4 linked regions of the Rattus norvegicus genome follow. The protein of the gene in region 4 purifies or fractionates together with the protein of the main gene of each other region. This does not show direct contact. Links are inferred from orthologs where the notes say so. Each region holds a gene or a part of one and is shown on either strand. Other genes may lie near its edges.

What was found.
Region 1: the proteins of Hnrnpa2b1 (region 4) and Hnrnph1 purify together in Homo sapiens (affinity purification with mass spectrometry; 5 studies listed by BioGRID and IntAct, with this or other methods). This does not show direct contact. The link is inferred for Rattus norvegicus from reciprocal best matches to the Homo sapiens genes HNRNPA2B1 and HNRNPH1.
Region 2: the proteins of Hnrnpa2b1 (region 4) and Dhx9 purify together in Homo sapiens (affinity purification with mass spectrometry; 4 studies listed by BioGRID and IntAct, with this or other methods). This does not show direct contact. The link is inferred for Rattus norvegicus from reciprocal best matches to the Homo sapiens genes HNRNPA2B1 and DHX9.
Region 3: the proteins of Hnrnpa2b1 (region 4) and Hnrnph3 fractionate together in Homo sapiens (co-fractionation; 3 studies listed by BioGRID and IntAct, with this or other methods). This does not show direct contact. The link is inferred for Rattus norvegicus from reciprocal best matches to the Homo sapiens genes HNRNPA2B1 and HNRNPH3.

The regions. Positions count from the first base shown.
Region 1 is NC_086028.1:35,193,359-35,197,489, reverse strand, and holds the start of Hnrnph1 (heterogeneous nuclear ribonucleoprotein H), read right to left. Parts: upstream 2,858-4,131; 5' UTR 2,795-2,857; exon of another isoform or gene 2,712-2,794; intron 2,295-2,711; 5' UTR 2,255-2,294; coding exon 2,158-2,254; intron 953-2,157; coding exon 797-952; intron 601-796; coding exon 457-600; intron 1-456. UniProt on the Homo sapiens protein: This protein is a component of the heterogeneous nuclear ribonucleoprotein (hnRNP) complexes which provide the substrate for the processing events that pre-mRNAs undergo before becoming functional, translatable mRNAs in the cytoplasm.
Region 2 is NC_086031.1:68,175,996-68,179,562, reverse strand, and holds part of Dhx9 (ATP-dependent RNA helicase A), read left to right. Parts: intron 1-704; coding exon 705-823; intron 824-1,222; coding exon 1,223-1,371; intron 1,372-2,794; exon of another isoform or gene 2,795-2,934; intron 2,935-3,567. UniProt on the Homo sapiens protein: Multifunctional ATP-dependent nucleic acid helicase that unwinds DNA and RNA in a 3' to 5' direction and that plays important roles in many processes, such as DNA replication, transcriptional activation, post-transcriptional RNA regulation, mRNA translation and RNA-mediated gene silencing.
Region 3 is NC_086038.1:25,617,982-25,622,348, forward strand, and holds the start of Hnrnph3 (heterogeneous nuclear ribonucleoprotein H3), read left to right. Parts: upstream 1-1,558; 5' UTR 1,559-1,581; coding exon 1,582-1,693; exon of another isoform or gene 1,694-2,187; coding exon 2,188-2,326; exon of another isoform or gene 2,327-2,860; coding exon 2,861-3,045; exon of another isoform or gene 3,046-3,461; coding exon 3,462-3,548; exon of another isoform or gene 3,549-3,856; coding exon 3,857-3,972; exon of another isoform or gene 3,973-4,367.
Region 4 is NC_086022.1:81,868,494-81,870,748, reverse strand, and holds the end of Hnrnpa2b1 (heterogeneous nuclear ribonucleoproteins A2/B1), read left to right. Parts: coding exon 1-20; intron 21-221; coding exon 222-344; intron 345-1,005; coding exon 1,006-1,067; 3' UTR 1,068-1,088; intron 1,089-1,248; 3' UTR 1,249-1,737; downstream 1,738-2,255. UniProt on the Homo sapiens protein: Heterogeneous nuclear ribonucleoprotein (hnRNP) that associates with nascent pre-mRNAs, packaging them into hnRNP particles.

The sequences.
Region 1 (4,131 bases), on a different chromosome or scaffold from region 4:
CTTTCATAACAATTTTCATTCAGAAAATTACACTATCTAAAATATGTCTGGTCCCATGACCAAAAATAAGTTCTTACAACAAACACCATAATAAACTAACACTCTACACTCAACACTAATCTAATGTTAAAAAGAGCTTACCTTTAACTTGCAGTACTTTGCTAAACAGCAATATGAGGAAGTAGTTAAGATGGCTGAGTAGAATCCTCAAAGGTCTACTCTGAACTACAATACTAAATATAGGCAAAGTTAACACTTTGGAAATACTTCTAATTTCCACCTTTTAAGATGGGCTTAAGTTATTTGAAGGTCTCCAGGAAGAAAATGTGAATTTTACAACATATATTCAGCAACCTACTTTCAGTACCTAGACTACTCAACTTTAAAGTCTAATACTAAATCATGTCGCCAGAAGCTGCCATACCTCACTGCTCAGCAACAAACAGGACTACATACCTGAGAAGAACTGAACAATTTCTTCCTTGCTACATCCAAAAGGGAGTCCTCTAAGCCGTACAAAGCCATCATTGGCCGTGTCAGGACTATTGGGACCAGTATGCTTCAACACCCAATCCATTTCAACGTTGTTTGACTTGAATACTGAAAGAGGTGCTTAGAATTAGTCAATTAAGTTAGAGAACAAAGTCCAGATTTCCTGGGTTTTAGATAACTAGGAAGAGCTGCCATAAACTCCCTTAGATGACCATTTCCATGCGGTCAAATACCTAAAATTCAGAAGGGGTAAGACCTCTATGTGTTTAAACATTTACTGTTACTAGGGCAATGTAAATCAAACCTTCAACATATCTGTGTCCCATAGTTTCTCTGTCTTTTTTCAAGGCCAATTTGACTTCATCTTCTGATTCAAGTTCAACAAAAGCCTCGCCACTCGGTCTGCCTTCTCTGGTGTAGATGAAACGAATACCTTGAGCCCCATTTTGAATTTTGCAGTCTGAAAAGAAAACAATGCTTAATACAGAATTTAAAACCACCTCTGGGTGATACAGATGAGATGCATATTCCTGTCATCATTAAAAAAAAAAAAAAAAAAACCCACTCCTAAAGACTAAACTGATCACTCACCATCAAATTACCTGGTATATAGGATATATTCCTAATCCATCAAGGTACCTTAATACTCAAAAACAGTTCAAATGAAGCTACTGCCTTGCCTCTAAGTATCCACTAACCATCTCTGCACAATGTCTCAGAATAACCTCATCTGGGCCTGGTGACCTCACAGCATTTTCTGGGTGGGGTACCATGTCAGCTCTCCTCTATCAGCAGCCACATAACTGCTCACTCAAATCCAAACTCCAGCTCAATACTCACCTGAAAGGGCATCAATGTAAACAACTAAAGGCTCCAAACTGCACAGCTCAAGTCAAACCCGATGGCAACTGCCCCCTGCCATTGCTTCCAGTATACTTGAGTCTTGTTTTACAGGTCGTTTTCTGTTACCACAGCTAAATTCAGACAGTAAGGTCAACACTACAGGTACCTTTTTACGAAACTTGTCAATGTTTTTGAAATACACCTCTCTTCTCTTACAACAGTGGGAATAAGATTCTGATAGAAATTATTCAGAAAGCCTACACATAGTGTAAAAATAAGTAAGATTCTACAGTGACAAAACTTTCTTGGGTTTCAGGGTTCTCAGTTGTAAAGGGATCCAGTTTTTTAATTAACTAGACCTAGAGCATGAATTCAAGGACCAAATCCTAATCAGGAAAAATGAACTTTTCCAAAGCAGAATGCCTCTTTTCAAGTGAATATATGTAAGGAAGTGCAGTAGCGCTTCAAAGGGGAAATTACTATCACTTGTCTGTACTGCTCCATTTGTTTTTCAAGACCAGGAAAGAAATCATATCTTTCCCTACTGAATTCTTTCAGAGACAATTCCAAAATGCACAGATTGGTGCTTAGAGACCGAAAAGATTCTGCAGGGCCACCAGCATCCCAATGGGAGAAGGGGAGGGGGGCGGGAGGAGGGGGCATTTCGCAATTACCATTGCGTAACAGCGGCTGGCAGAGCGCGAGCCCGGGAACCGCTGGTGCCTGCGACTCGCTAGGGGGCGCCCAGAGGTCCGCCCCGCCCCGCCCCGCCCCGCCCGGCCCAGCCGCGGGCCCCCACTGACAACTCCCGCCTCAACTCACCAGAAAAAAACCGCTGCACTTCATCCGCGGAGCAGGACCAGGGCAAGCCCCGGACCTTCACCACGAAGCCCTCTCCGCCTTCTGCTCCCAGCATCATCGTCTCTTCGCTGGTCCTGGCGTCGAAACAGACTGCAGGGCTGCGGGGTGGGAGGGGGGTGGGGTTGTTAGGAACACGTCTAAGAAACAGTCATTTAAATGGCCCTCCCACTTCAAGGCGCCCTGCGGGGTTCGACCGGGCGCCGCTACGGGAGCCCCGCCCGGTACGCTGCCTTGACCCCGGAGACTCAAGCATGCAACCCGGCCTCGGCTAGCGACCCGATCCCCAACACCACTCTGTGCGCTCAGTGCTGAGGAGGGTCTAGGCTAAGAAAACCCTGGCCTACAGCCATGGTGGAGACAAGGAAATGGCGGCCGCCGCTTCCGCTCCGCCTCCTCAGACATCTCACACAATAGAAGCGGCGCGGCCTGCAGGCCTAGGCGGCGCTGCCACGCCGGCGAGACACTCGCGGTTTCCAGGGGTAGCCTGTGCTTGCCACGGCCCCCCAGGTTTTAACCTAAGTTCAGCGACAAGCAATCGTCACCAAAATAGGCGTCCGTGGAGGGCTCTGGTAGCAAACGAAGACAGAACACCACTCACCTCCACACAAAGCCTCGGCGTGGCTGAGGAAAAATGATAGGAGAGCGCCTGCGCAGCCTAAATAAAGCCCTCCGAGCAAACTCTGCGCACGCGCACCCCGTGGCCGGCCCCGCCCCACTCGCGTCACACAAAGATTAAACGCATGCGTATTAAGAAAACCTGCGCTCTCTCCCGCTAGCCCATTATTACACGCATGCGTTTGGGCTCCGGCCCCTTCATAAACTGACCGAGGGGTTTTTTTCTTCCTGCGCCTGCGCCCTTTTGCAATTATTGCGCTTGGCGTCTCAGCGGTTTATCGTTTTACTTAAAGCGCATGCGTCTGCCTTCAAACCGTTCTCTAGACCTACCCGCCAGAGTGGGGGAGGGGAATGGCGATAATCAGCTCCCAGCAGGGACTGGGTAATAATCCAGAGTTCAGGTTTACAGGGGCGGTTGTTCTACCCTTAATCCGCAGCTTTTCTTCCGCGTTCCTGTCAGTTTTGAAAGACAGCAGGAGGAAAAGGAAGCCATGCCCTTTCTCCCTAGAACGCGTAGGAGCTGGAAGGCCGGTTTATGCCGAGCCTCCTCTCCGTACCGCCCCGCCCCTGCGCCCAAATCCCAGATCACCGTGGGGTGCCTAGGACCAGTCCCCTTACCTGCCCGCTTTAGGGGATCAGTCCCCGACCCACATGGGCTGTCAGTGCCCGAGCTAGTCCTGTATCCCACTTTGCCTAACGAACTCGCAGTCTGCGAACCCCTCGCCTTCCCAAGGCCGCGGGCCCTCGCACGAGAAGCGCTCTGTGTGCTGCGCCTCGCGAGTGAAGGCTGAGACTACCAGGTGCGCGGAGGACGCAACCCCAGAGCGCGGCGCCCGACCGATGTACCTCTCCCAGGTGGAGACACCTCCGGGTCATCTCGTGTGCACTTACAGAGATAAATGGGTAAAAAGTTAGAATTCCAGCAACACAGCAGAATACGGATGATGTTCGGAGTCTCTCCGGATTTGACTGACCCACCCCTGCCAGACCTGGTAGAAATTAACAATAGTGTTATTGTTTTGGTGGTGCCACAGTGGGTACCACAGTTGGTATGCCTCTGAATGCCATCACAAGAGGTCGCGGTCAAAATTACGTTTTTCTTTCAAGTACAATATTGAGGAGGCTAAATCCACTTTGGATAGTTTTTTTTAAGGGGGTGGTGGTCATCAAAGGAAAGGTGCAGAGACAGCATGCAGAACTTGGACCTTTTAAGTCTGCGCAAGGGTGTTAAGTAGACAGAAGCTTTCAGCAAGAGAGCAACAGGAGCTGTGTAACATGAACCTTCAGGTGTAAGGGAAACTCCGATGAAACAGGCTGGGA
Region 2 (3,567 bases), on a different chromosome or scaffold from region 4:
ATAATTTTGTCCTTAGTTTGTTATTCTGAATATAAAGACAACTAAGCGCCTTAAAAGTACATGTTAGTGCTGAGGAGAAAGAGACAACCAAGCATAAGGAGTTATGTTCTATACCCACCAGCATCCACAATGTGCAATCAGATGGGTCTGTGAGAAAGATGGCTGGCCGGCTAGGTACCTTAATGTATTTTACTGTTCTGTGAAGGAAAAAAAGTCCAGTGAAAGGACTTATTTATTCTGCTTCATAGTTCATGACAAGATTCAAGGTGACAGAAACTTGAAGCAGTTGGTCACCTTGCAGAGTGCAATGAATTTGTGCTGTTAACTGTTAGTTTCAGTTTCTGTTTTTACTGTCCAAGTAACGAAGCATTTATAGTGGACAGGTCTATCTTCTTTCTCTCTAACAGACCATACTACCAGGGGATTTGGAGTAAAGTTACCAGTTAACATTAACTATCAGACTAACCTACTTGTCTGTTTTGTGGAGATTATACTATGGCCTCCACATGCATAGACATAGACACACGCAAAGAAATAAGGCTGATCAGCATAGTTCTCATTAGTTTAGACGTCCTTCCAGATTATTGAAAACATGTATCCAAACATGGAGTGTCAAATTGTCATTAGGGATAATCTTTAAAATATGTAGATGTAGCTCCCCCACCCCCAAACTTGATAATTAAAAGAGCAATTTTTTTTTTAAGCAGAAAATAATTCTGGAGTTGAGTCTTCATCTGGCTATGGTTCTCCTGGACCCACCTGGGACCGAGGAGCCAACTTAAAGGATTACTACTCAAGAAAGGAAGAGCAAGAGGTGCAAGCGGTAAGCAGTCTCATGTAGTACATGCTTGAAAGTGGGATTACTTACACATTTTGAGACAATCTTGAATCCCAGTCTGGTCTTCATTCCAGTGGCCCTAGCTTAATAGCCTATTTTACTAGTTGTTAGATCTAGCCTGGTGTACATCTTGTAGTCTCAGCATTAGGGTCAGGAGAATGACTAGCTCAAGACCAGGCTGGACTATAGGGTTCTAAGAACATAGTGATGTCCTATCTCAAAAATACAGGCTCAGTGATAAAGTGGTTGTCTAGCCATGTTCAAACCCCTGGATCTCAGCACTACAAAAATGTAGTTTTATATTGAAAAAAGCTGTATGTTATTTAGTATTCCTTATGTACATATAAGTAGCGCAGCCAAATTTAATCATCATTGATTCTACAGACTCTAGAGTCAGAAGAAGTGGATTTAAATGCTGGGCTTCATGGAAACTGGACTTTGGAAAATGCTAAGGCTCGTCTGAACCAGTATTTCCAAAAAGAAAAAATCCAAGGAGAATATAAGTACACCCAAGTGGGTCCCGACCACAACAGGTTTGCTTGTTTCACTATTTTCCTTGTAAAAAATTAAGGTGATTTGACTTTGTTTACTAAGTGTTCCTCAGTTAATTCTGTGCAGCAGCAGTGAATTGTGAAAAGATATATAACTATAGTTTACCATAACTTTTGCTTAAGAATGTAATGCTATTCTATAAGAAGTCCTGCAAAAGGTCTGTTGCTGGACTTTGATGCCAGTTAATATCTACAGTGGTCGTTTGCTAGTTGTTGACTTAATTGGTCAGAGGTGGTGATTTTTTTCTCCCCAGTGTAGTTTTATTGGTGATAGCTTTAAATACTTAAATGGTTCTGCAGTGTTTTGTTGTCTTAGAAGTAGATTGTATGTATTACCTATACATCCAAATTTGACCTCGGTTTAATGTTGACAGCTCTTTTAAGAATCCTGTTACTTGAGTACTATGAAGTTAAAGGATCGCGAAGTTCTTATGTATGGTTTAAATAGAATGCCTTTTTTTCCTGTTAAGCTTATAAAACAATGTAAGGGAAGATAATGTGACCGTATGTTTCTCAGCCTGCTTGATGTTCTTCCTAAGAGCATTCCAGGGTGTAGTACTTATTACTCCCAGGAAGGCTCATACAGATTAGATTCTTCAGGGAGGCACTGCATTATTATTGGAAGAGAAAAGGAAGTGGTTCTGGAAAATAACGATTCGATTTGCTGTCTTTAATTATAAAAAATAAATTATCCAAAATAAATTTAAAACATTTTTCTGAAATTAAAGTGTTCTCCCTTGGGTGCAAGTAGCAACCCTAAAATTATCATTACCCAAAACAAAAAACAAATTGACAACATATTCAAAATGATGAGAGCATGGCTCCTCCTGCTTCCTACTGCTTTGTTCAGTCCTGAATTCTCAAATACTACATACTTAGTGTTATATTTTTAAGATCGTTCTCCATTTTGGTGTCATAATTTTAAAAACAAAACTCCAGGCTGTAAAAAGACACCATTTCCTTTAATGCTTTGTCTACAACTTACTGCACTTGGCAGCTCCTGGTGGTTTTTCTTTTTTTAAGAATAAGTGAAAGGCTGGAGCACAGGAGTGGAATGTTTGCATAGCATGCATGAGGCCTTGAGCTCAAATTTCCAACATCAATGTTACCACTACTACTATTATTTTGAATTGCTGCCCTCCCCCCAGAAAAAAACCACCAACATTTGATGTCAGTATCTTACTGATTTCTGATGTAAAACAAAGAATTCGGGACAAGACAATGTAAGAGGCAGACAGTTGGAGCTGGGACACATTGCTCCTGTATGTCCTTTATTGAAAGGCATAACAGACAGCAACACCAGAGGTCTGTGTTCATATACACATGTGCTGATGCTTAGGCTGAACTAAGCAATCACATGGGAAACTATTGTAAACTGATTTCTGGTGTTGCTGTTCCCCCCTAGGTGGAGGAGAATGAGATTGAGTGCTGACTTTAAGCCTGGCTGAGAAACATACTGTCATCGGTGTCATTAATGAAAGGGTGGATGTTGTTCCCCTGAAAGCCAGTGGCCTTTGACCCCCCTTGAAGCCCTTGTGCCTGAAGGTCAGTTGACAAAGAAGTTTAGGAAGGAACCTAACTTATCTTTTTCCTTAAGTTTCACCTAAACTTTTATTCACAGCACAAAGCCAAGTTTGAGTGTGCCCGAGCAGTAAAGGACCAGCATAAAACCCTAAAACCTATATTTACTCCTAGGGCCTGCTAGCAGTTTTAGCTATCTATAATGTGAAAATGACTTTTGTCCTCTAGGCCCTGATTTAAGTATCTTAAAAAAGTAGGCTAAATTTTTTTGTAACCAAGGACTTCTTCCAGCTTGAGATAATTTGAACTCTGCCACAGGAGCTACTGGTATATAGTGGTTGCATGTGTAAACTACCCTAATAAGTTGCAGTTGTAAATTAGTATATATACATAGATACTTTTGAGGAGTTTGGTGTTTTTCTTAGCTCTCCAAGATAAGCAATCTTCTTTCATTGAAAGCATTCTTATATTGAGACACGAGCCTTGGAGTAAAAATAAGTAAATCTATAATCTAAAACCATAACTTTTTTTTCATGAAAGAAAGCTCATCAGCTGCTTTATAACTAATGTCCTATATATTTGCAGTTTACATACTTTCTGTTCTAGGACTGGACAAAAATAAGTGTTCAAAATGGTTTTTGCTGTAATGTCTTATCT
Region 3 (4,367 bases), on a different chromosome or scaffold from region 4:
AAAGGTTGGAGTATTGTAAATAGTGAAGTGAACTGTTGCATAGCCTTTGAAAACTGTATATTAAGGTATCAGAACAGACTGCCCTTTGGGTTTTAGTGGGATTCTAGAGTTGACTTAAAAGGTATATTAGAGCAAGGCTGCTTCCCTACTCTCTTTACTTGAATAGAAAGTCACCCTATGAGATAACTTTTTGTCCAAATCAGTTTTTGCCCAGTAAAGTTTTGTTAATTGAAATCAAGAACTGTTGAACAAAAATTTTTCTCTGACCTTCACATTGCACTCAGGTATGTGTGTGAGGTATGAGCACATACACCAGATTAATTAACTGTAATAAAAGATTGTTAAATAAAAGTTATCAGTGTAGTGTTTTTCAGAGTTCTTGTTTTCATAAGGACTTTCCTGGCAAAAATGGTGTTTTAAGTTTTAGACACACAAAAGAGCTTTCTCCCTTGTACTTGCTACTGAAATACTTGTCTTTCCCTCATTTTAATTTTATGAATGTTTTGCTTGTGTCTGTGTTATGTATACCACATGGGTAGAAACCCAAAGAGTGTTAGATCCATGGGAACTGGGGTTATACAAGGTTCTAAGCCCCTGTGTAGGTGCTGGGAATAGAGCCCAGGTCCTCTGCAAGAGAAGCAGTGCTTTTTGTGATGAATTATAGTCATCTCATGGGGGTGAGGGTGGGATTATCTTAAGCTGGTGTGGTAGCATCTGTAATTCCATCTATGAGTCCTGTCCAGGTTATAGAGCTCCACCTGGCTACATTAGTTTGTTTTTATACTCAGACTTCAAATATGAATAGGCATGTACTATATATACCTTTGTGTTATTAAACATTTGCAGTTGGGCAGGTGTGTCAGTAAAGCTTAGTACTCTCCAGCTGAGGCACGACTGCTTGAAGTTCAAGGCGAACCTGGGCACTGAGGCCCTTGGATTTTTGGTTTTGTTTCTCGTCTTGTATTCTTTTTGTTGGTGTTTGGTTTTTTTTTTTTTTTTTTTTTTTTTTTTTTGAGACTAGAGAACAGCCCTGGCTATCCTGGAATTTACTTTGTAGACAAGGCTAGCCTTAAACTCCCAGAGATTCTCCTGCCTCTGCCTCTCCAATGCTGGGATTAAAGGTGAAGATCCTTGTTTTAAAACAGAAACAAGTCCCCAGCTCCGAAAAAAAGAACAAAAAAAAAAAAACAAAAAAAAAAAAAAACAGAAACAAGTTTGGTATATAGTGACACCCTGTCTGTAAAACAAAGTCTGGGGAGCTTTGTAAAACAGTGTAGCATGAGGAAAAGGATAGTGTGTGACAGCAAATTTTATTCTGGTGGTAAAATTCTACAAGCCTTGTTAGATCTTCAGGGTTGTTGGTAGGAGGGGGGTGAATTTCACTATCTTTTCCTACCCTACCCCAAAGAAGCATGTTAATAGAACACTGTTGCAGATTGTCCCAGGAGTCACTTTAACTTTTGCCTGCATTTTGAGTTGTGACACTTGTCAGAGTTGTTGGAGTTTTGGTAAGACTGTGTTGTGATTGACTGCTTTATGTGCTTGTTTATTTTCATAGCATTTAAATCAAGCGGTATTGAAATGGATTGGGTTATGAAACATAATGGTCCAAATGACGCTAGTGATGGGACAGTGCGACTTCGTGGACTGCCATTTGGTTGCAGCAAAGAGGAAATAGTTCAGTTCTTTCAAGGTACCTCTAGCACTAGTCAAAGTTTAGTAGTATTTTAAATTGTGTTTATTAGCTGTTACTGTTTTTAATTTGTAAAACCCATTTGATTTTAGAACTTAGTTTTGTGAAAACCTGGGTTATATAGTAAAATGGGGAATGTGCTCCAGTTACTATTGCATAGAGTATGTGTAGGCCAAGTAAACATTGATGATGTATAGTGTAGTTAACCGAGAGTAACTGTGATGACATGGGCTGTGAGTTACCATTGGGAGCACAGTTAAATGATTTGTAGTTTTTCATGTAGTGGGCTTTTAGAAGTATAATTTTAAGACACTGGTCACAAAATATTTAATCCAATGATATTTGAAAACTATTCCAGTTGTATTATGGGGTGATGGGAAACTAAGCCTTTTGTTTTGTTTTGTTTAGATTTGTTTTAAATATTTGATTCAGATGGGAATGTTTCAGCCTTTAACACTGTTCCCCTTGATGGGGTATTTGTCCTTGGGTTAAAGGGTTGGAAATCGTGCCAAATGGGATAACATTGACGATGGACTACCAGGGGAGAAGCACAGGGGAGGCCTTCGTGCAGTTTGCTTCAAAGGAGATAGCAGAAAATGCTCTGGGGAAACACAAGGAAAGAATAGGGCACAGGTGGGGATGGAGAGTTTGGGATGGTGTTACATTTTTATTTTTGGGGGTTGTGGGTCGCTATTGCTTAAATGGGGGGGGTAAGCATAACATTTTTCTGGGGTAGTTTTAAAGAATTGATAATTACCTAAATTTAACATGGAAATACAGATTTGGGTGGGGAATTAATGCTTATAGTTTAAATTAAAATTAGATTGTTTCCATTTTTTTTGTAGGATGTTGTTAAATTTGTTTTTGTATAATCACCTGATTTTTGTTTTGTTTTTGTTCTTTTTTTTTAATATACCTATCTTGTACTAAAGGAAACAAGCTAAAATATATTCCTAATTCAGTGTTTTCAAATGACTCATTTGTCTATGTAAAACTTAAATATTTAAGTTTGTAGGTGTAAAAAAACGTTAACCTTATGGTTTATTTAGGCAATTTAAATTGGGATATATACCTAGATATAGACAAACTTACTGCATTTGCCCAGTATCTAATTTACTCTCTAATGCATCTGAGCTGAAACCTGTACCTTAAAACATTTTTAAATAGGTATATTGAGATCTTCAGGAGTAGCAGGAGTGAAATCAAAGGATTTTATGATCCACCAAGAAGATTGCTGGGACAGCGACCTGGACCATATGATAGACCAATAGGAGGAAGAGGGGGTTATTATGGAGCTGGGCGTGGAAGTATGTATGACAGAATGCGACGAGGAGGTGATGGATATGATGGTGGTATGTGTGTCTAATGAACAAAGGCTCTGTTGTCATTTTCTTGATGTTCCTGACACTTTGTCAAGAAGTACAGAAATGGCAGTAATTCCAGTACCTATGAGGTTTCAAAACCTGGTCATGAAATTATGGGATGTCCATGACCATCAGGTGGAACTTGATTGATGCATGTCTTGACAGCTAGAGAACACAGTGGAGAAGTAAAAATAAAGATGGTTGGCATGTTTTCTTCCTGGCATAAATATGAGACTTCATTTCCATGTCATGTTTGAATTTATCCTCTGTAAATTTCCATTAAGTGTTCACTTTTTCTCACATATAGTCAGCTGCAAACATAATTGAAAGAGCTAAGACAGTTACTGCTAGTTTACAGAACAATGGCTCAGAGTTGTATTTATTTTTCCTTACATTTTCCACAGGCTATGGAGGTTTTGATGACTATGGTGGCTATAATAATTACGGCTATGGGAATGATGGCTTTGATGACAGGATGAGAGATGGAAGAGGTAAACAGAATATTGTCATAATGAAGTCAATTTTACAGGGTTGGGGATTTAGTTCAGTGGAAGAGCACTTGCCTAGCAAGCGCAAGGCCCTGGGTTCGGTCCCCAGCTCCGAAAAAGGGGGGAGAAAAAACAAAAAAACTATTCACTGAAGTCAATTTTACCATTCCCTTTTGTAAAGTTCCAGTAGTAATTAGGTAACTTTCCAGTAGTAGTAAGACAACTTTGATAGGTTAGTGGAAACTTGTGTCAATGCACTGCTTTGGAGATGTATATGAATATACTTATGTGAACCCACATGGTTTATCTAGGCATGGGAGGACATGGCTATGGTGGAGCTGGTGATGCAAGTTCAGGTTTCCATGGTGGTCATTTTGTGCACATGAGAGGGCTGCCTTTTCGTGCGACTGAAAATGATATTGCTAATGTGAGTAATTGTGGTTTTATAGTGCGTTTTTTAATTTATTTTTTGTTAATAATAATTACTCATGGCGGGGAGACAAACTGGGCTAGAATTTGCAAGAATTTGCAAATGCTAACTTGGCTTTGAGCCTGTTGGAATTACAAGCAGCTACCATGCCCAGTTGACTCATCTTTTTTATTTGTTGAGACTCAGGCTAGGGTTGTCTTTTAGTAGATTGATTATTTGCCTAATGTGCACATAATTGTTTGTGCCCATTATGTGCTGACCTAACGAGATTTTTCAGCAGGTTAAAAAAAAATGCATTAAAATAAACAACAGAAACCCAGCTCTGTTAAGGATAGTCAATTAGGTAGGAGCTTGGTAGGGACTGAAGCAATCCCAAACTCAAGATACTCCTA
Region 4 (2,255 bases):
TTATGACAACTATGGAGGAGGTAATAAATTCATCTACAACCTTTATGTTGGAATTTGGATTAGAATTAATGACATTTATTTTATTGTCGATTAGATACTTTAAATTGTAGGATTGTAGTTAGGTATTGTGTACTTTTATGTCTTAGAGAAAATTTGTATTCAGAAAGTTTTTCTTCAATGCTTGTATTCAGAGGTTAGCTGGTATTTCAATTCTTTTACAGGAAATTATGGAAGTGGAAATTACAATGATTTTGGAAATTATAACCAGCAACCTTCTAACTACGGTCCAATGAAGAGTGGAAACTTTGGTGGTAGCAGGAACATGGGAGGACCATATGGTGGAGGTAATTTAGTAAATGATAGGCAATCCTTCTGGATGGTTGACTGGGGTGGAATGGAAGTCTAAAGAGTTCATCTCAGAATGGGAAGAGAATCTGACTTTGAGATGGGAGGGTAGGTAAACTTATGTAAATGTTAGGTAATGTTTTTGGTTTTTTTTTTTTTTTGGGAGTATGAGTTGGGGCATACATTGCTTAGAACCAGGGACTCTATGTACCACGCAGAATTAGGTGATTATCTCTTGAATTTAAGTAACAATTATTACTGCCAATAATCCTTACGATGGGGAAATGGAGGCAGAAAGGTCATGTTTTCAAAGTCTTGTCCTTCATGTGAAACCATGTCTCCAATATAACACTCTGCGTTTAGCTTCTTAAAGGAGCTTTTTTAAAAAACAATTCTTTATGATTTGAAGACTGGATCCATCTTATTAAGCTGCTTGTGTTTGAAGATAATAGACTTAGAAAGATGGTATCACATTTTTTTATATGCCTATAATCCGAGGGATCAAAAGGAGTAGGATCACTTTACATTGTGGGGCAGCCAGGTATATTATGTACAGTCACAAGACAGAAGGAGAACTTGGTTTCCAGGATAAGAAAAACATGTATACAGACCCTCAGATTTATGTGTTCTAAGCCTGCATTTTTGTTTGAATCATTATAGGGAACTATGGTCCTGGAGGAAGTGGAGGAAGTGGGGGCTATGGTGGAAGGAGCCGATATTGAGCTTCTTCCTACTTACCATGGGTAAGTAGTTTTTTGAGTTTTACAATTATTATTATCTTGGGAGAACTAGCTGCAGGAGTAAAAAAGCAATTTTAGGATCATGTTATCTTTCCTTAAAATCTGGTTAGATGGATAATTTCATAACCTATTTTTTTTTTACTCTTTACTTCTGTTGAAACAGGCTTCACTGTATAAATAGGAGAGGATGAGAGCCCAGAGGTAACAGAACAGCTTCAGGTTATCGAAATAACAATGTTAAGGAAACTCTTATCTCAGTCATGCATAAATATGCAGTGATATGGCAGAAGACACCAGAGCAGATGCAGAGAGCCATTTTGTGAATGGATTGGATTATTTAATACCTTACTGTGGAGGAAGGATTGTAAAAAAAAATGCCTTTGAGACAGTTTCTTAGCTTTTTAATTGTTGTTTCTTTCTAGTGGTCTTTGTAAGAGTGTAGAAGCATTCCTTCTTTGATAATGTTAAATTTGTAAGTTTCAGGTGACATGTGAAACCTTTTTTAAGATTTTTCTCAAAAAGTTTTGAAAAGCTATTAGCCAGGATCATGGTGTAATAAGACATAACGTTTTTCCTTTAAAAATTTAAGTGCGTGTGTAGAGTTAAGAAGCTGTTGTACATTTATGATTTAATAAAATAATTCTAAAGGAAATTGTGTAATTATAGACTTTTTATTTTAAATAAGTTAAGGAGTGGGTAGTATAATTAAGGTCCATTGCAAAGCTGTTGTTGTATTTGTGTAAGATAAAAATGCTGGTCAGATTTAAGTGTGTTGTCTGAAATTCATCAGGAATAAATTACCTAGTTAACTTAAGGGATATCTCTGCAAGGAGAAACACCTTTTTAGATCTTTTAGATGCTGCTTCTTCAATGCAAGGAAAGGAAATAACCCCAGCGAGGTACTCTTCAGGGACACAGGTCTAGTACAAGAGAACTCTTGACGACTAAGCTCAGCCAGTCTTAAAAAACTGTGCTGTATCTACAAAGCTTTAACTACAGTAGTTGATAAGAATGCCAACGAGAGCTGAGGGTGTAGAGCAAAGTAGTTCTAAGCTTCAGTTAAACTTCTTTAGGTAAGAACTTATTTACTTTTTCTTTCTTAATTTTCCTCCCTTAAAAGATAAACTAATAAACTCTTCAATGGTCTTTTCAGTATAGTTCTTATGTAGT